Linked DNA regions of Mus musculus: regions 2, 3, 4 and 5 are each reported to be linked to region 1. Evidence: microRNA targets listed by miRTarBase, many of them from high-throughput screens and not tested one by one. Region 1 holds a microRNA gene; each other region holds the end of a gene's coding sequence.
The links. Region 1 holds the annotated microRNA mmu-miR-467g (UAUACAUACACACACAUAUAU, at 1,219-1,239, shown strand). A microRNA usually pairs through its seed, bases 2 to 8, with sites in the 3' UTR of a target mRNA and lowers its output. Matches are read on the target gene's strand: a 7mer-m8 pairs with bases 2 to 8, a 7mer-A1 pairs with bases 2 to 7 and ends in A, and an 8mer does both.

Region 2: the mRNA of Wfdc12 is a reported target of mmu-miR-467g. Seed matches in the 3' UTR shown: 8mer at 3,399-3,406 and 7mer-m8 at 3,394-3,400.
Region 3: miRTarBase lists Golt1a as a target of mmu-miR-467g. Seed matches in the 3' UTR shown: 7mer-m8 at 1,537-1,543, 7mer-A1 at 1,844-1,850, 7mer-m8 at 1,894-1,900, 8mer at 1,902-1,909 and 7mer-m8 at 2,013-2,019.
Region 4: the mRNA of Tspan12 is a reported target of mmu-miR-467g. Seed matches in the 3' UTR shown: 8mer at 1,332-1,339.
Region 5: the mRNA of Slc22a15 is a reported target of mmu-miR-467g. Seed matches in the 3' UTR shown: 8mer at 1,999-2,006.

Annotation. Positions count from the first base shown.
Region 1 is chr5:34,729,989-34,734,110 of GRCm38, reverse strand. Mir467g (microRNA 467g) reads left to right here and starts at 1,139; the gene lies at 1,139-1,258. It overlaps Grk4 (G protein-coupled receptor kinase 4), which reads right to left. Exons shown (of 16, transcript NM_019497.2): 10 at 4,069-4,106; 11 at 2,541-2,630.
Region 2 is chr2:164,185,948-164,190,069 of GRCm38, forward strand. It overlaps Wfdc12 (WAP four-disulfide core domain 12), which reads right to left. Exons shown (of 3, transcript NM_138684.2): 3 at 3,284-3,736. The coding sequence ends at 3,712. A730032A03Rik (a long non-coding RNA gene) reads left to right here. Exons shown (of 4, transcript XR_003954086.1): 2 at 311-377. Among named protein-coding and RNA genes, the nearest start is that of Wfdc12, 2.5 kb to the right of the region's middle.
Region 3 is chr1:133,320,898-133,325,001 of GRCm38, forward strand. Golt1a (golgi transport 1A) reads left to right here. Exons shown (of 5, transcript NM_026680.4): 4 at 94-157; 5 at 712-2,129. The coding sequence ends at 753. It also overlaps a transcript of Kiss1 not described here. Among named protein-coding and RNA genes, the nearest start is that of Kiss1, 4.3 kb to the right of the region's middle.
Region 4 is chr6:21,769,271-21,773,392 of GRCm38, reverse strand. Tspan12 (tetraspanin 12) reads left to right here. Exons shown (of 9, transcript NM_173007.4): 9 at 457-2,002. The coding sequence ends at 762. Among named protein-coding and RNA genes, the nearest start is that of Gm30270, 81 kb to the left of the region's middle.
Region 5 is chr3:101,856,918-101,861,039 of GRCm38, forward strand. Slc22a15 (solute carrier family 22 (organic anion/cation transporter), member 15) reads right to left here. Exons shown (of 12, transcript NM_001039371.2): 11 at 3,884-4,072; 12 at 1-3,602. The coding sequence ends at 3,522. Among named protein-coding and RNA genes, the nearest start is that of Mab21l3, 23 kb to the left of the region's middle.

The DNA of each region.
Region 1 (4,122 bases):
TTTATGGGTGGACTGGAATCAGGGGTTGGGAGGTTGAATGGGAGGATCATATGGAAAAGGGACAGGGAAGATGGGATAGAAGAAAGTTATCAAGGGGAAAGACATTAAGAATTGGAGATTATTTGTGGGGCAGTATGGAAATCTAGTGCAGTAAAAACTAACTATATGAAGGCAATCCAAATGAAGTCTCCAAATAATGAGGGAGTCAGAACTCTTAATTGCCATGTCTTGTCACTAAATGAAGCTTCCAGTGCTGGGACTGGGTATAATCCAGTTGAGCTGTTAGCTAAAAAGGTCCCATGGAAATCACCAAACAACTCAGGCTGTTACTCAGACAATTGGTTGCTCTCCACAAATTGACAAGGGCTCATTGCTGAAGACAATACCTACACAACTCATTGAAAATGGAAAGATCAATCTGATGCCTACATAGGACCTTTGCTCCCATTTTATAATGCCTATGACATAGGAAAGTATTCTGCAGGGTACCAAAAGAGAAAAGCAAACAGCAACTCAACCACAAATCCTTAGATCTACAATGGTGACACAAACTCTGTGGGGGTAATCAGCCTATGTCTGATTTGACGTAAGGCCTATTACATAGCCATACCCAAACCCAACACTGATTGTGTCATCAAGAACCAGAGTCTAGATATCATAGAAACCTAGAGTATAACCAAATATCACTGGTCAAAAAAATTAGTAACAATAACATGACTTCTAATGATATTCTGCTATAGTCACAGTTCAGTGCCTTTCAGTCATCACCACAAGGGCTTTTTCCTACAGCAGATGGCAATAAATGCAAAGAGCCAAATCTCTCTCTCTCTCTCTCTCTCTCTCTCTCTCTCTCTCTCACACACACACACACACACACACACACACACACACACACACACACACAGAGCGAGAGAGAGAGAAGAGAGAGAGAGAGAGCACTAAACCAGATATCTCCATAAAATCCCTCCCCTGAGAGCTTAGAGAACCCCTCAGAAGAGGAGGCAGAGGAATAGGGGAATCAGAAGAGAGAGTGGACACCAGGAGAACAAGGTTCTCTAAAACAACTGGGCAAATTTCATATGAACTCACAGAAATTAAAGCAGCAATCAATCACAAGGCCTACATGGGTCTGCACCAGGTCTTGTGCATGCATATATATATATGTGTGTGTGTATATATATATACATATATATACATACATACACATGTATATGTATATATACATACACACACATATATATATTCATGTATATATATATATATGTATATTCATGTATATATATGAATGTAATGAGGCCTTGTTGTCAGTTTGTGGAGAGCAACCTACTGTCTTGGTAACAGCCTGGGTTGTTAGGGATTTCCATGATACTCTTTCAGTTGACAACTCAATTGGATGATATCTAGTCCCAGCATTTTGCGGGGGAATATATATAATATATATAAATATATAACTTTTATATATTTATAAATATATAAATAAATACATGCACATATGCATATATATAAATAAAAGTTTTCAGTTTAGTACTTTTATGAAATTTATGAATATGTAAACAAGTGGGTCTCTGATTCTTGTGCCTTCTCTTGGGCCTCTTTCATTTTTTTCTGTTGGCTTAGCTTGTCCAACTTCAATATGATAGTTTTCATTTTATCTTATTATATTTTGTTTTGTTATGTTTTGTTATCTCCCAGAAGCCTGTTCTTTTCTAATGAGAGACAAACAGGGAGTAGTATATCTGGATGGAGAAGAGTGGGGAACAAGTGGGAGGAGCAGAGGGAAGGGAACTGTATTCAACTGTATTTAAATTATACTGTATGAGAAAAGAATCTGTTTAATAAAAGTAAGGAAAGAAGCCAGAGATAGTGGCACAAGCCTTTAATCCCAGCAGTCAGAAGGCAGAGACAGAGTTCCAGGCCAGCCTGGTCGACAGTGTAAGTTCCAGGACAGCCAGGGCTACACAGAGAAACCCTGTCTCAAAATAACAATAAAGGCAGGGGAGAGATGTCTATTAGATGTGTGTGGTAGTGCTCACCTTTAATCCCATAGATCACCATGCCCAGCTTCCCCTGACCCCCCAAAATCTTGTTTTGTTTTGTTTTTTTAATTAAACTTAGAGCTAATTGTTGTTTTCCAACAGGAAGACTGAATTGTTGTGTTTGTTTATAAAGTATCAGAGTGATAATTAGCTTTATTAAGTGCTATTTTAGGGGCAGGAAAGATGGCTCAATGGGTAAAAGTGCTTGCCTTCAAGCCTGACTAATTGAATTTTGTGAAAGCAGAGAACTGACCCACTTGAATTGTTGTCTGACTTTTACATGCACTCCCTTAGGTACTCATATGTACAGATACATGCACATAATAATAAATAAATGTAATATAAATATTTTTTAAATTAATGTTTTAATGTAGCATTATTGTTATGGCTTAATGAGGTTCATACACTTAAAGTAAATTAAAAGCTAAGTCTTCCCTCTAGGTTCTAAGCCCTAGGACACCTAGAAGGTATGGATAAGGTCCACCAAAGTCATCTTTCACTTACCCATGTAGCCAACAGTACCAACTCTTCCTCGTACCATCTCCCCTTCTGGGACTTCCATAGCTAGACCAAGATCTGAAATTCGGATGTGTCCTGTGCAGGTTCACACACAAAGTACAGATCATTGGGAAAAGTAACATTTTAGTGACAATTTATAACTGCGAGGCAAAGTCCATCTAAAACGTATTGATGAGGGCTGGGGATATACCTCAGTAATAAAACCCTTGTATATGATATATAAGGCTTGTGATTCTATCCCTAGTGATAAAAACACACAAAAATGTATTAAAAATAGCAATATCTAAAAATTATATTTAACTTTTACATATGTAATGTACTTTCATATAGCACACTGAGTTTCACTAACAGCAAGAAATTATATTTATACCTAAAGAAGCCCTTTAACAGTAAATCACCACTAGATAAAAACCAGAGGAACCATATTTATTATTTACTCATAACTATCAGTTAAGCTACTTCACTTAGAGAACTGTACTGTTCAAATGTTTTGGGTATAGGAAGGCATAAATGTTGGCTACAGTCCTATGAAAGTAACTAATTATGGAAAGTGTTCTTCTAAGGACCCCTATCATAGGATTTAGACTTACCCTCATAAGACACCTAGTAAACTACTCAATGTATTTCAATATAATTTGTTCACTTCCCTTCAATGCCAACTCTAGATACCAGTGCAGCATAACCCAGCACAAATCACAAGTTTAAGAGTTGGAAGCAGTCAAATTACTTCTTAATTATTCCATAAATGAAATTTCAAGCACCTTTCTTCTTCATTGGGGTCAGTACATAAGTTAGGTAACGAGCAGAAAGCAGTGGCAGAAGTAAATATAAAAGCTAAGTCTGATAATGTCCCATGTTTGCCTTCAGTAATGAGCTACACTAGCCTATTCTTTCCAGGAATCACTCTGGCTCTGGTTTATGTTTCCTACTCCACAGAAAGATCCTTTTAGCTATTAAGAATCACTAATCATAAGCTCCTTCTCAAATTGCTAACCTACTTAGTGTACATACAACCAGCATCCTAGCAATAGGGCTCACTCTCAGATCCAGAGATACCAATGTCAGAGGCACCCATGATGCTGATAAGGAGCTATCACATCATGACCAGTCCCCATAACAGCATTCTACACCCCCACTCTGTGACAATTGATATATGATAAGGGGACAGCATAGAGGGCAGCACGCCAAGTTTAGAGGGCTAAGGAATAAAAATAAATAGAGTCAATAGCAAAAAACAGGAGGGCAAATACTCATTTGGGGTTTATTTTCACCTACTTCAAAACATTAATCATTAATATATGGAGTCTCTGCTTTTGTGTAAGTACTGGTGATGGCAATGTCAATTGGTTTTTGTGTGTGTGTGTGTGTGTGTGTGTGTGTGTGTGTGTGTGTTTTAAAGAACACATCCCAAAGAGTTTCTTTTAGTTATTGTTTCCAGTCTGCGTTATTAACTGACTATGTCCACATTAGCTTTTCTGACAAGCCTACACTTAAGCATGGAAGGCTCTCTTACCATGATCATCAAGGAGGATATTCTCTGGCTTTAGGTCTCTACAAGGAAAGAAAC
Region 2 (4,122 bases), not on the chromosome of region 1:
ATAATATGTATCTTATAAGCCAGTTTTGAGAACAGAATTCATTTGATAAGTGATGATGATTATTCTAATTCTCTATTTCAAGTGACTCTTTCTTTTTGGGGAGGAGGACTTGTACCAAAGATTTAAATTTTAGGATAATCAAATCACCGTTTCCACTTATATCTGCTTCCTTTATTTGAATATCATTCAGTTGTACGAATGAAAAGATTTCACTATGAGACTTCCATAGATGCATATAATGTATGTACTTTGATACTGTGTTGACCTTTCTCTCTTTATAAAAAGGTTTCTTTATCTTTATTTTATGCAGATGCATGTTTCGCTGGTGTGAATGTATGTACTTCACGTGACCTCAATGCCTGAGGAGTCAGAAGAAGGTACAGGATTCCCTGGACCTGGAGTTACAGGAGGTTGTGATATACTCCACAGGGGCTGGAAATTGACTTGAACCTGGGTTTTCTGCCTGGACAAGTACTCTAAATGGCTGAGCCATTTCTCAATTTTTTTTAGCTCACAGTTTACAGTCCATCGTGGGACAGTCAAGGCATGCGGATGGAAAAGTCAAGACAGATGCGTTACATAACATTTGCAGTCAGGAACAGAGGGAAACACATACATACTTGCTTCCTTGTGCTCAGCTTTATTGCTCCGCCCTTACACAGTTCGGGACTCATAGTACTGCCCATAGTGGGCTGGGTCTTCCCATATCAATAATGTAAATAAGATAACCCACCATAGACGTGTCCACCTGTCAGCCTTACATAGATAATCAGTCCATCACTGAGACGTTGCAGGTGATTCTAGGTTGTGTCAGGTTGACAAGTGAAGTTTACTATTACATCATCCATGCTGTTGCTGGGAATTTTTTGTTCTTTTTTCATTATTTCTCCTCCTCTTCCTCCTCCTCTTCTTCCTCATTATCCTCTCCTTCATTTTCCTCTTCCTTCTGCCCTTCTTCCTCTTTCTCCTCTCTCTCCTCTTTCTCCTCCCCTTCCTCCTCCTCCTCCTTATTTGTGATCCAGTGCTTCTGTTGTAAGAGTTACAGCTACATTATGTTTAAGCGACTTCTGGTATCCATGAATTTTACTAATTTACATTGTTACCTCTTACATCACAGTCTTTCACTGCCCCATATGAACTCGATTATTTTGTTAAGTTGGGAAAAAAACCCAACTCATTGTTTGCTATAACATTTTTTATCACCATTCCAAAAACATACAGGAGAACAGTAACCCTTTTTATGAAACTCTGTGCATTCCAAACTCAACAGGAACATCTTACATTTCTTCTTGTGTACATCCAAACTATTATTTTTTTGAAATTTAAAATTTCAAGTCAACCCAACACATCATAGATATTTCAGTATGGGTCTCTAAGATATGATCATTTAGGTTGAGTGTGGTGATGCACTCCTACATTCCCAGCACCCAGGGTGTGCAGCTAGCAGGATCCAAGTTCCAGGTTAGCCTGGACTACATCGCAAAACCCTCTATCAACTCTGAAAGAAAGGGGAGAACTGAATTTGTCATTGTCACACCTAATCATCTGCCTCTGTGTTTGCTTTTTGTTGTTGTTGTTGTTTTTGAGACAGGGTTTCTCTGTGTTGCCCCGGCTGTCCTGGAACTCACTCTGTAGACCAGGCTGGCCTCGAACTCAGAAATCCGCCTGTCTCTGCCTCCTGAGTGCTGGGGTTAAAGGTGTGCACCACCATGCCCGGCTGTGTTTGCTTTCTATTTTCCTTATTGTTCTAAAAATGACTTTGTGGGGCTGGAGTGATGGTTCAGCAGTTAAGAGCTCATACTGCCCTTGCAGAGGACTCTAGTTTGCCATCCTCCATGCTGGGTGGTTTATAACCTCTTTAACTCCAGACCAAGAAGATCTGATACCCTCTTCTATCCTTTCTGGGTATCTGCACTTACAGGCACACACCTCTACACAGACACATAGACATGCACATGATTAAAGATACATTTTTTAAATGAGTTCAAGCAGTTTTCAGAACCAAGTCCATACACTGACACTCCCTGCATGGTTGCAACATCCTTAGATTCCTTTATTCCAGAATAAACATTTTAGCTCATTTCTGCCTGCCTCCCATTCTCCCCTTCTGTAATTTCTGCTTGAGCAAACAGATGAATGTCTACTTAGTGTGGCTAGAAGCCCTTCCTTGTGGTATCTTTCAGCTTCCTGCATCACTTGAGGAGGAGTCTATACCTGGCTTACCCATTTTTTTTTTATTTTTATTTTTTTTTATTTTTTTGAGACAGGGTTTCTCTGTATAGCTCTGGCTATCCTGGAATTCACTCTGTAGACCAGGCTGGCATCAAACTCAGAAATCCACCTGCCTCTGCCTCCCTCCCAGTTTACCCATTTTTAATGTTGTTCAGACAAACTGCAGTATTTCAGCCAGAACACCTCAATCCTCTCATCGTAAAGCCATGTTTCTCCACACAAGGACACGTTGTATAGCATGGGATGATGAAATGACACCCTGTAAACAGCAGGAAGCTGTGGATGGCCGGTGCCTGTGGCGACAGCTTAATTGAGATTGCAAATTCTAGAGGGTTTAGATTGTAGTTATATATGAACGATGTTGATCAGGATGGACATCCTTGCCTTGTGAACACTTGGTGTTTGCAGAAAAGCAGGCATATATATGCATTGTATTCTATATGCAATATGTAAGAAATTACACACACACACACACATGCGTGCACACACACGCACATATTTTATATATTCTCTAGTACTTTAATACACAAACAAAATGTATTTAGATCATCTCTCTCATTTCTCCCTCCAAGTCCCCCTGATTCCTCTCCACACTTCCCTCTCAATCCCAATTCCTCTCTCTCTTAAAAATAACCCACTGAATCTAATTAGTGTGCCCATACACCCGTGGGTGTGCAGTACCATCCACTGGGGCACTGGCACCCCACCACGGGCCACACCACTGAGGAACGATGACTCTGCCCCCTCTAGTGGCCGTCAACAGACATGGCTCCTCTACTAAGGGTGACTAGACTGATCTGTGCAGGTCTTGTGCTGGCTACAACAGTTGCTGTGAATTTATGAGTACAGCGGCCCTGTCATGCACAGAAGACATTATCTGTGCCAATCTTCCAGGCTTTTCCTAGATGTTCTCTGAGCTTGGTGGTGGTGGTGGTTGCTGTGTGATACAGGTGTCTCACTTAGGGATAAATAATTCACAACTCCAGAGTCACTTTGTTTTACCTTTGGCCAGCTGTAAAGGCATATCTTTTTTTAAAAAAATCGTATTATGGACAATTTTATCCTATTTATTCAGATTTGTAAAAAATGTCATATAATAAAGTTTAATAGTTTTTCCAAAAAAATGTATATTTCCAGAATTATTCATGCATGTATATGTACATACATATACATACACACACAAACACACAAACAAACATACACACACACACACACACATACACACACACATAATATTGAACAAGGATTTTTTTTTAAACTATTAAGTTGTATTAGTCTATTTGGACCACTGTAACAAATTACCATAGACTGAATGGCCTATAAACAACATTTATTTCTCAGAGTTCTGGAGGTTGGGGAGTCCAAGATCAAGGTGCCCAGAGATCCAGTATCTGGAAAGGCCTGGTTTCTGGTCTTTGTATCTTCTTGCTGTGTCCTTCCACGGTGGAAGCAGTCCTCTGAGGCCATTTTTATGAGATATCACACCTTACTCTGAGGGATCTGTCTACAAAAGAGGAGGAGAACCCGCTGAAGAGGGATGCTCACACTGGGGACAGGCTGGATGGATAGGCTGTTCCTTCTTTTGCACACAAGGACTCGGAGACCAGGTTGCCCACGGGCTGCCCGTTTCTCCCATACTTTAAGCCTGTGGACCCCCGGGGCAGGTGCTAGGTGACAGCAAGTTTAGAGGAGGAAAGGACAGAGTGGGACTTGTGTGAGCAGTCCTGGGAGGAGGGAAAGCCCAGGGGCTTTCACCTGATTCTGCTTGGTTGACATCCCTGTCACGCCTTCCCCTTTGTACAAAGGAGACGGTCAAGGCCTCTGGTCTCTGAGATCCCATAAGCTCACCCCAGTCTCTCTGCCCCTTGACTCCAAGAATCGCTCGCTCTT
Region 3 (4,104 bases), not on the chromosome of region 1:
GGCTGCTCTCAGAGGAGAGCCTTTGAGTAGGAACTGCCTTATCCCTCCTCTCCTAGGCCACCACTGACCCCTTGTCCTCTCTTCTATTCCTAGGGGCTTTTTCCCTGTCGTCTTTGGCTTCCTGGGCAGTGCGTTTAACATCCCCTTCCTGAGCACAGTGAGTAGATCTCAGGCTTGGCAGTGGTGTCTGGGGTGGGCGAGCACGTGCAGCTGACTAAGGTGCTACCCTAGGTGCAGTAGACCCCTCCCCCATATCCTTTGAGACACCCCCACCCCTACCATCCCACCACCACCCCCAGTCCATGGCTAAGGCATGGGTGGAGAGGCGGCAGCCATTAATAGCTCCCCAAGCAAAGAAATAAAAACTCTATGTGACCCAGCCAATACATACCTGAGATTTCTGCTATACCTGCTTAAGTCTGGGCTACAGGCATAGATAGCAGCTGGTGACATCAAGAAAAAGCAGGGAGCAGAGCCTGTTCTGGGCTCCACACCCATCTCTGAAGTACCTCACAAGAGAACACTGAGACACCCAGGGAGGGGCCGGAGCACACGGCTTGGATCGCTTGCCAGCTGGGCACACCCCGCCCCCCACTCTCCTCAAGTAGTAGCGTAGCATAAGCCTGCATCTCAAGGCCAGCTGGGTAATAGCCTGGAGATTGAGTCTGCTTCCCACTCTTTGTCTGGAATAATGATTCTTGGTTCCCACAGCTGTTCCAGAAGCTTCAGGGCTCCTCCAGCTCAATGGTCTGAAGTGCCCAGGCGAGTGCCTTGAACTTGGACTGTCGGTGGGGGGGCTGGAAGGGAAACGGGGGCTATCTTCATGAGCCCCTCCCCAGCACTGACTTACTTACCATGACACACGGGCATCTCCAAGTCCAGAAGAAAGATGGAGCTGAGTGATCGATCTTAAACCCTCGAGTCATCTCAAGAGGCCGCCAGGAGCAGAGATCCTGGCCATGATACCCATCTAGGGCTGGACGAAAAAATTCCCACCCTGACTTTCTGCAGGAGAGTGAAGATTAAATCCCCAAGCTGTGAATGTATCTGAGATTTGGCGTTGATGTCTGCAGCCTGAGGTATCCATCCCAGCCTTAGGGCAGGCCTGCAACACCACCCTCAACCCTGATCCCACAAGATGCTACCAAAGCGCTAAGAGTCAGACCCTGTCCTTGGTCCATGGTTCATGCTGGCACTGAACATCCTGAAGGGTTTGATGTGACTCTAAGCCTTAGTTAACATTAGGCAACTATGGGAACCGGCCCCACGTAGCATCAGGAAGACTACCGCAGCCATGAGGTGACCATTTCCCCCACAGGGCACAACAGATAGAGTTGGAGCAGTAACAGCCTTGTGCTGGGGATGGGTGGTGCCACTCAGAGAATCCAGCCTCACAGGAGCTGGTCCTCGTTCTGGGGGAGCCCCTGATCTCATGGTAAAAAGAGATTTTCTTTTCTTTTGTTTTTCTGAAACAAGGTCTTAGGTTGGCCTGGAACTCACAATCATCCTGCCTCAATTGTCCTGAATGTAGGATTATATGTATGATGCAGTAGACTGGCTTAACCATGTAGACGGAAGAAAGAGCATAGGCCAGGCCTTGGTAGCACACACTTGTAATCCCAACACTTGGGAAGCAGAATCAAACATCTCCGAGCTCAAGGCCAGACAAGGCTACAGCAAGCCCCTGTCTCAAATCAATCAAATCAAATCAAATCCAAACAACAACAACAACAAAAACCTCGAAGGAAGAAAGGAAAAGGAAAGACCAGAGTCACTGTGAGCATCTATTGAGCCCCTTCTGTTTACACCTAGCAGTGGAGTAGGTGTCAGGTGTATATATATGATGTATATATGATAGGGAGGCCTGTTCCCGCCCTTAAGGTATATATGATATATGTATTTATGTATATATGTGTATATGTGTATATCTATATATATACACATATACACATACATATATGAATGATACAGAGGCTTGCTCCTGCCCTTAAGGTGTGTGTGTGTATATGATCTATGTATGGTGGGGAAGCCTGTTTCTGCCCTTCAAGCACTGAGAGCTACCCACTCTCCACATCTGCTGTCTCAAAGCCAGCTCAGTAACAGCAAATACAAAATAGCCATTCCCTCTCCCTCCCTTCGTTCTGTATTATTATAATTATTTTATTTTTGAGAGAGGCCCCCACTATGTAGAACAGGCTGTCCATGGACTCAAAGCTCCGCCTGCCTTATACCTCCCAAGTGCTGTGATTGGAGGAATGTGCCACCATGCCTGACTCTGAGACGAGCTCTCACTCTGTTACCCATCCTGGTCTAGAGCTCTCTGGGCATCCCAGACTGGCCTAAACTTACCATCCTTCCGTCTCAACCACCCAGGAGGTAGAATTACATGTGTGGGCTGCTATGACCAGCTTTGCCCTCCTTCCTAACAGCCAGCTGCTTATATAACTGCCCAGCACATCTGGCCGTGTCATATCACATGCTTGTCAAACCCCTGTGTCTGCAGATGCTCAGTAATTAGTGGGAAAGGGAGGGGAGGAGAACCCTGGGCACCACCCCCGGTCTCAGCTCACAGTACAGGAGCCACCTCTGGTGGAGGCCAATCTGACCTGGCTTTCTTTCATGTGGGCACTGAGGAGCCTCTGGGTCAGACTGTGCCTTGCTCCTCCTCCTCCAGCCTGTGTCGTCATCAAATTTACTTCAGTGTGTGTGTGTGTGTGTGTGTGTGTGTGTGTGTGTGTGTGTGTTGGAAGAGAAGGACAAGACATTTCACATATACACACTGCTCAGCCACTTTCTCTTCGTTGTTTGGGGTGGAATGAGTCCCCCGCTGTGAGGGAGGGGGTGTCAAGAGGCTAGAGATGATGGAAGAATTGGTGAGCTTATGAAAGCAGTCTTGGTGATTTCTGGGGGCGAAGAAATCGCTGGCTCCAGACTTGAGAGCCTGGAGGCAGAAGCCAGAGGCAGGGCGTGGAGCCCTGAGGAGGGTCCGGGAGGGCAGAGGTGGGATTATGCTTGGAGACGTCACTCATTCAGACTTCATAAAAGGGGCTGTGATCAGGGAGCCAGATAGAGTAAGCCCAGGAGCCAGTGGCTCCCCGCTGTGTGTTCCAACTACCCAGCCCTCCAGCCCTCAAGCCAGGACCCAGTCAAGGTAGGCACACTGCTTGCAAGACTTGGGACTGCCCTGACCCAGGGAGGGTCTGGAGAAGCAGGCCTCCCACCCAAGGCCAACTGAAGCATCAGGGCAGCAGAGGGCAAGGAAAGATGGCATCCGGGGATGCCAGGGAGAAGAAGCTGGCTTGTGTCTTGTGCTTAAAGACAAGACACTGGGTATTCCCAGAGCCCACTTCTGCTGTATAAGGAGGGAATGTAGTGAAGTGACTCTGTGGGTACACCTGAAGGGATCTGGGGGAGCCCTTGGGGTTCATGGCTCACCAGGGCTTATCTGAGCCTTTCCCCCAATGCAAAACTAACTACATACATATGCTGTGAGAAACTTGCAAAGAACTGGGGGTAGAGGGATACCCTTGGAAGGAGCCACCTTATTTCAAAAACCTTCTGACCATGCCTAGAATTTCTCTGTTGTTTACTAGATGTAAAAGCTTCTAGGGTGAAAGAAACCACAAAGATTGTCCATGACAGACCACATAAGCCTCTTCTGATTTCTCACATACTGGGAGGTGGTGGGAGTGGGGAAGGGAGGGTGTTCCTTTTTTATTTTCAAACAGTTCAATTCTCATGTATCGAGTGCTCTCTGGAATAAGCAACAGAGTTATTGGGGCCTGGGGTGTCTGTACATGTGGCATGTGTGTTGCTTGTGGGATACGTGTGGTATCTATGTGAGGTGTTTGTGTTTTGTATATTATGACATTTGTTTATTTATAATTTATTTCTCTGTGCATGTGTGTGAGCATGTGTGTGAGTACCTGTGGGACTCAGTGGACAACTTTTGGGAGTTGGTTTTTCCCCTTCTACCACGTGGATTCCAAGGGATTAAATTCAGATTGTCAAGCGTAGTGGCAAACACATTTATATACTGAGCCATCTCACCAGTCCATGTCGTATCATTATATATAGTGTGTTTGCATGCAGTTTGTGTGTGGA
Region 4 (4,122 bases), not on the chromosome of region 1:
GGGTGCTGGGATCGAACTCTGGTCTTAATTGTGTAGCAAGTGCTCTTCACAGATGGGATACCTCTCTAGTCTCAAAGAACTGTTTTAAAATACATTTCTTTATGATTTATTATAAGTAAATATTTTATTGGCGTAGCTATTAAAAAACCTACATACCCAAGGTTATATTATGTTACTCAAGTAAAAATCAGTCACCATTACAAACTATTTAATAAGTTGTTCTCTAGACACTGGGTTTTATACCAGTGCCTGTGTATGGAAAATAAAAGAAAGATGCTGGACAGTATGAGCTACCAGGGCCTTTCAAGGTGAGCACCACATCTTGGTTAATGGTCAGTTTTTTAAATTTCCTAAGTTTAACTAACTGATTAGATTGTGCTTTTTTTCAAATCACTATTTTTGACAATTTAACACTGATTATGTTATTTCTTTTTCTTTTCTTTTCCTTTTTTACAGGGTTGTGGGAAGAAGATGTATTCCTTTTTGAGAGGAACCAAACAATTGCAAGTTCTAAGGTTTCTGGGAATCTCCATTGGTGTGACACAAATCCTGGCCATGATTCTCACCATTACTCTGCTCTGGGCTCTGTATTATGATAGAAGGGAGCCTGGAACAGACCAAATGCTATCTCTGAAAAATGATACGTCTCAGCACTTGTCATGTCATTCTGTGGAACTGTTAAAACCAAGTCTTTCAAGGATCTTTGAGCATACATCAATGGCAAACAGCTTCAATACACATTTTGAGATGGAAGAATTATGAAGAATGTCAAAGAAGGAAATCACAAACTTGTGGGACTAGTGGGTTTTGGGGTACACAGTTATCTATTTCAGAAATTTTTAGACATATTAATATTCTGAAAAGGAATGTCTAAGAATTTCTCCACTCTTTAAAACAAAGGTTCCACATGGTAATACACAGACAATAATTGGTGCCCTTCAAAATGCCGAACCCAGACATTATAACAACTGTGTGTGCTTTCTTTCTTTTCTTTTTTTCTGAGCACAATTATGTTTTGCAGTGATACAGTTTGACCAGCATTTCTGCATCCATTCACAGAAATGAACCGTCATGGTGGCACTGGAGCTGATATGAAGGTTAACTGACTCCTCTAACTAACCTATAAACTATCCACTGACTGCTAACATAGGGATTTAGTGCTAAAGACCTTTATTAGCTGGTGATGTATTGTTCTGATGGTTATTTGATTATATGCAAAAATCTTTCAAGATTGGTGACTACCTAAATATGATTTTTGTTGGTTACTAAAATAATCTTATTAATAACACTTGTAAGAGCTAACATGTTGTCTTAAACTTATCAGGGATATATATGTATATAAGTCTGTGCCGTGTCTGTATAATTCAGTAGATTTCAGTTCCTATAATATTATGAAAAACAATATTTGAAAATGGCAAAATTGTCTTACACAGTACCATTACTTTTGTCTCTTTCAGCAACAGAACTTTTAAATTCCGTCTTGGTTCTGTACTATATCTATAACTGTTAATTTAAGTTGTTAACCACTAATTTTGGAAATTACCAGTTTGACACATAGGAATCTCTGTAAGTCTGGCTGCCGGAAGTATTAACTACAGAATTTACACATAGTTGATTCATCAAAAGTTCAGATTTTTCCCCCCTCCCAAAAAACACTTTGTCAAAGAGTGTTTTTCGTTTTTATTTTTAATGTTTTCATGTATTTCTTTTGCAATCAAGAAGCAACAACTTGAAGTTGATGTAATTTTACAGAGAAACAACATTCTCTGAAGAGATGCTCATAGGAATCTCTAAAATAAGTGGTAGCCTAACCAGAGAAAATTCTTGATTTCTTTCATCAATTAATACACTGTAGCAAATGATGCAGAATATTAATTTTTTTACAAGAGTAGAAGATATTTATTTGAAACGGGAAAAGTGCATTTTACTGTATCTTGTGCATTCTGTTCATTTCTTGGATTACAGAAAGAAAATTAATCAATAAATATTTTCTAGATCATGATGGTTTGCGTATTTACTTTCAAGACAAGGTCTCAGTATACAGTTCTGGAAAGGGTGCCCGTTTTTATACACACTATCACTTTTATCAGTGAAGCAAGGGATGAGCAAGGGAGAGGATGCAAATGAGAAGAGCACGCATGGGTGTGGGGGAGGCCTCCATGATTGGAAATAATGCAGCCCACCGTCTCAAGGCATGTTTATCAAGATCCTCTGCCATACCATCACTATCTTCATGGATGCCTGGAGTAAAATATTGGGTTCAAGTTGAAGCACACCATTGAGGGCATCCGCAAGTGCTCACCTGACACAACAAAAGCAGGAGGAGCATGTCTGGGGTGAGGGTGGCTTCCTGTGAGAGCCCAGCCACAGTGGGCACTGTAGACGGGTTTGAAGCCCCCATGCTTTGAGACTTTCTGGAGCTTTCTTATGTTTCCAGATGGGGCGAGGCCTCAGAACTCTGGAGGCAGCACCATGAGCAAGTGAGGGTCCTAGATGCAGCCATAGATGCTGACTCTTTGGAGTTAAAGAAATTGGAGTGTTGGTCTTGTGCCTGCTTCTGTCTCTGTGTCCTCCACCATTGCAGGCATCCCTGTCCCCAGACTGCACCCTCCTCCTTCACTTCTTTACAGGCTCCCACTGGCCAACGTGTCAGTAGCACTGTCCAGCTTAGTACTTGGCATAGCTACTCTCACCATTCAGCTACAGAAAGAAGAGAGACTGAAAAGTCAGAGCCTTAGGTCAGCCCATGGGTGAGGGACAAAAGATACCACACACACACACACACACACACACACACACACACACACACACATCCCTACATACTCACCCTCAAGGGGGCATTATTCTTGTTTCAAGTCTTCCTAGCTAAGGGTCAATGGCCCAAAGCAGAACAGGTTTTATGAGGCTGCCATATGTCCCATGTGGTCTCCATATGTCCCATGTGATCAAGGTCAAAATGGCTCCTCCACCTTAATTTTGGCACTGTGCAAGGGTGGCAATGCGGTGCGTTGCAAAGTATAAAATGAAGTCTACAGACCTCTCTCTTAAAGGATTGAATACAATATTACTAAATTTAGAGGGCACTAAATTATTTTCAAACTCAGGAACTAATATGTAAACTCCATTTCCACTGAAAAGAGACAGGATGCCTTTACTTATTTCAAGTTCCTATTTTTGCTAAGCACATTTGATATAATAAATCACTTCTGTTCATTTATCTTCTCAGTGCTTTCCTTTGTTGTTAATTTAAAAAGGAAAAAGACTTGGACAATCGCTCCATGCTGTAATCTCAACTTCATGGAGGGGAGAGGCTGGAAGATCACTTAAGCCCAAGAGTTCAAGGCAAGCCAGGGCAATGAAGAGAGACTCTTGTTCTCTAGAGGAAAAGAGATGAAGGGAGAGAAAGAATATGGACTTATATAGGATGAAACATCAATAAATCACTTCTTCAGATTTCACTTATGATAACCAAGTAATTGACAAAGCTCTGCATTTTATTTGCTTTTTTTTTTTGATAGCTGCCAAGTTTGCTTGCTTGCATCTCTTTTGATGGATCTCACAGTCATATAACATGCTTATATTATATTGAGCTTGGGGGGGGGGCACCAGTCTTCAAATTATGGGGATTGACTTTTTAAAATAGGTATTTTGATATATTTCCCGATTTAGTGCCCTCTAGAATAGTCACCATAAATTTAGACAATCATCTTCTATATAATACATTTGCTTAATGGGAACAAATGACATTTATAGCCATGGACCACAAAGGCCTCTTATGGTAGCAGTGCACCTGGAATAATAAAACTGCAAGGAACTTTCCAAAGTGCATTTAATGCTATAAAGTTGAGGGAGTTCTCTGTTTGGGAAGAATGGGGGAAATCTGTTAACTATGTCTTTGGGAACCTTTAAAACCTTTTTGGGGGGGGGTAAAAATCACAAGTTTTAAAGTAAAAAAAAAATTAAGAGATTATTTTTAGATTGGTTAACAGGAAATTCAAAACACCCTTGAGACTCTGAGAAGGCAATTAGAGATGATGTCTGTTATAAAGGTTATAAAATCTGAGTTAGAGACACTTGTGGTAACACTAGGAAATATAAATGAAGGAGTGCACAGCTAGCGTG
Region 5 (4,122 bases), not on the chromosome of region 1:
CATTTGTCAAAGTTGTTACTGTACTCCTAATGTACTCTATATGAACAAAAGGACTGTATTCTGTGATCCTTTAGTAAATTCACAAAGGGCAGGCATTAATTCCTGTTTGTTTGTTTTTTGTTTTGTTTTTGTTTTTGTTTTTTGTTTTTTCCAGACAGGGTTTCTCTGTGTAGCCCTGGCTGCCCTGGAACTCACTCAGTAGACCAGGCTGGCCTCCAACTCAGAAACCCGCCTGCCTCTGCCTCCCGAGTGCTGGGATAAAAAGCGTGCGCCACCACGCCTGGCTGTTTGTTTATAAGATTTATTTATTTGATGTTAGTACACTGTAGCTGTCTTCAGACACATCAGAAGAGGGTATGGGATCTCACTACAGATGGTTGTGAGCCACCATGTGGTTGCTGGGAATTGAACTCAGGACCACTGAGCCATCTCTCCAGCTCCCTAATTCCTGGTTTTATTTAGTTAATAAAATACCCTGATCTTTGTTACCTTTGCAAACTAAGGACCAACGATCAACTACCTGTAGGAAGAAGTCCTACTGAAAAGTGGAATTTCAGTTCCAAAATTTTACATGACAGTTACTTGAACATGTGTGCACTAAGAGTATAAATTGTGCACTAAACTGGACGGTGCCTATCCTGGCCACAGTCACCCGCCAGTGCCCCAGATACTATACTCTTCTTGTATTTTGTGTTCATGCTGAGAATTGAAGAACATCTCCCTTGCTCTGGAGCCGCTGAAGACCAGAAGCCATGCTGTGGCTGTGGTTTCAACACAGCATCTGAAACTGAAGCACGGTAGCTTTGAACATTCTTGTCACTTTTAAGGTTAAAAATTAAGGTTAATGTTCTCCCCCAAATTTTTCTCAGACTGGTGTTGGACTTGTTAGTTACGACTCTTGTCAGCTCAAAGGGGAAATTCTTATTTAAACTCCATGTGTTTATTTATTCATTGATTTCCATGTATTTAGGTATTTTAGGTAGTTAGTAGTATGATACCTTATGACTTTTCAGACATCCTTACTGTTTCTTTAAAGATGCTTTTAACAGACTATCTGTACAAGCAAAATAGGCTACCTACCAAGTAAGACTTCTGTGGCTTTGTACCATCAATACTCATTAGCAGCCATCATAGGGAATAAAATTCATCTTTACAAAGGCAGAGAAATAATTATTAAACTGTGCTTAGAGGACTACCCAGGGAGAAGAAAAATGTAATAATTTATCCAACAAGAGCAGCTGACAGCCAACCGGGCCTTATTACTTGCCACGTAATTCACCCTGTGGTCTGTCCTTCTACCTCTAGGCTGGGAATTACCTGGAGTTCACTTGCTTAGCCAGAAGCGGCAGGAACTTCAGCAGCAGCAGGGAATGAATAAAAAGCCATGGCCCTGCTTCTTCTGCAGCTAGACTGACGGATGCACTTTCTAACTTCTAGTACCAAATTTTCTCTGATGGGTTATTGTAGCTCTTTGTATTCTATATTAACTGTATCCCCTCAAAACTGTTTGCACAAGAGGGTCTGCATGTAGCTTCTGGGGACCTGCCCCCAGTTAACTGTGATTGGTAATTAAAGATGCCAGCAGCTAATAGTTGGGGAGACAAGAAAGAGGATTGGGGTTTCCAGGGCTTGGGACCTGGAGGAGGAGGAAGAGCAGAGCAGCACTGCCTGAGAGTGAGGGCCAGAGAGGCAGAGCTACCGTGTAAAGGTCAGGGGCAGCCAAGATGGAACATAGGAACTAGTAAGTAGTAACTTGGAATTATCGGTGGGAGGTAGAGTCTAACACCATGGAGGGTAGGCAGTTGACCAGCTATTGTGCTCCTTAAAGCATATTAAAATATAAAGGTTGTGTGTGTGTCTTTCATTTGGGAACAAAAACCATTGAGGTGGGAAACAACCTTGTGTAGGGATATATTAAAAATAATACTCCTACAGGTTACATTATATAAAAAGAGTTCAATAACATTTATATATATATATATATAAAATTTATATATATATACATATATATATATATAAATTTACTGCTTTATTTTAAATACTTTATTTGACAAGAATCAAGAGTTTCTGGAAGTCCTTTTCTTCCTCTCCTAAGGAGAGCTGACCTCCATTTCCCAGAGAGGAGAGCAGCAGGACTTCGTGCTTTGGAGTGTGGGACACCCTTTACTGGAATTTGCGGATATGATGTCGCAGGGAGTTCTATAATCTTTCTGACAGCTAGACACAGGATCACCTATGGGGTCTTCACAGCATCCCGGCCAGGCATGTTCCTCATACTGGTAGAAACAGCTCCTCCATACCCAAGGGCACAAAGGAAAAATTATTTAACAGTGGAACAGACCAGTACAGTAAAAGCCCAGACAACACAGAGGAGTCCAGGAACATAGCTGGAGGCAAAGAATGCAGGCTTGCACAGTTTCCAGGGGCATCTACAGAGCACCTTTCTACTCTGTGTGCTTTCTACTCCCAAGAGATTAGCAGACACAGAAATCCTAAACACACAGCCGTTTCCCTGGTCGGGGCGTGATCGATTGATCGATTGCCCACATGTGGACTCCTGGCTTATATGCCATTTGAGAGTGTTCAAGTTTTGTGAGAGACAGGTTATGATTCATTTGGAAATCCACGGAAGCACTCAATGAAAACCCACCATTTTCTTAAAAAACAAAAAACCCTCCACCCTGCCTTTTAAATAACCAGTAGAGGCTGATGCAGGGCAGAGTCCAGCCCTGGTGTGCTGTGCATGTCCCTTGTTGCACACTGACGACACTGTGAGAGACTCTCCCCTCTTAAGTCATTTACAAAGTGCTTAGCGTGTCACTTGCTCGCCACCCTCAGTCTGTAAAGTTTCCTCGTTGGCTGGGCATGATTTTGAAGTTATTGCTGATGCTAGAATCTCACAAAGAAAAACAGTCCCCAAATGCATCCAAGTGGGGGAAAAAAATCGCATGACGCAAGCGTCAAAGGGAGCTTCCCTGCCACAGCCAGCCCTCTGATGAGAAATGCTCCGCTAATTCTGCCCTTTATTAGTGAATGAGCACAGACTAAAGGCACAAGCTGCACCAGCAACCAATGAGCTGGGAACCAGCCAATGAGCTGATGGGAAGCTGGGAGCTCTGTACACATCAACCTGCACCAGAAGATTCCTGGTGGGGGAGAAGCAAGTGACAGGGATGCTTGCTAGGAAGATGACATCTCGGGGAAGGTCTGGCTAACCCTAGTTAAAGTGCGAGCAGTTTCACACACCTGCTCTTAGGTCCCGAGGAAGGGTAGCAGCATGAGGCACCAGTCCTACAAGGTGGATCTGAGCTGTGCAGCCAGAGGCGTGGTGCTGAGCTCAGCCCCAGTCCCGAACAAGTCAGCAATGACTCCCTCAACGCAGCAAGTTCTCCCTTTTGGAATCTCTCCTCCACCGCCTCTCCCATCTGGAAAGCGTCAGTGTGGGCTGAATACATCTCTGGTGCTGAAGCTGAGGCACTAAGGATGATGGGGCTCTGCTTCTGGGCAGGAATGCGGGCTCTTCACTTGATCATCTGGGTCTCCTCATCTGCATCATAGAACTCTTCCTCCTCCTCACTCTCACTGCTGACCTTGTCCAGGGGCTGCAATGGCAAAGGAGATCTTGTAGAAGTGATCATGACAGGCCTTAATGAGAATTACCACCCAGGCACTCACAGTGCAATTTTGCTGTTGTTTTGAGACAGGGACCCATGCAGACCAAGTTAGCTTCCAATTTTCTAAGTAGCTGAGATCACCTTCTGATCTTCCTGTCTCTACCTCTCTAGTGCTAGGTTTACAGGGGTGTACCACCACACTCAGGTTTAGATGGTTCTGGGGATCAAACCCAAGGGCACCTAGATGGTTACAGCATGTGTCTCTATACCTGTGGAGGATCCAAGGTCTGTAGAGATAGCGCTTCCTCTCCTAACCTCCTATATGAGTACATTTGAAGATCAGAAAATGTCTCCAGCAAAGGGCTGTTCAGAGTCTCTGGCAATAGCAGGCTCAGGAGGCCTGAGGTCAGGCCTGTGGCTCCAAACACGATGAAGGGCAGAGACCACTGTACTTCCTTCTGTGGAGACAGGAAGTGGAACAAAACCAAACAAACCATTCAGCTTCTCA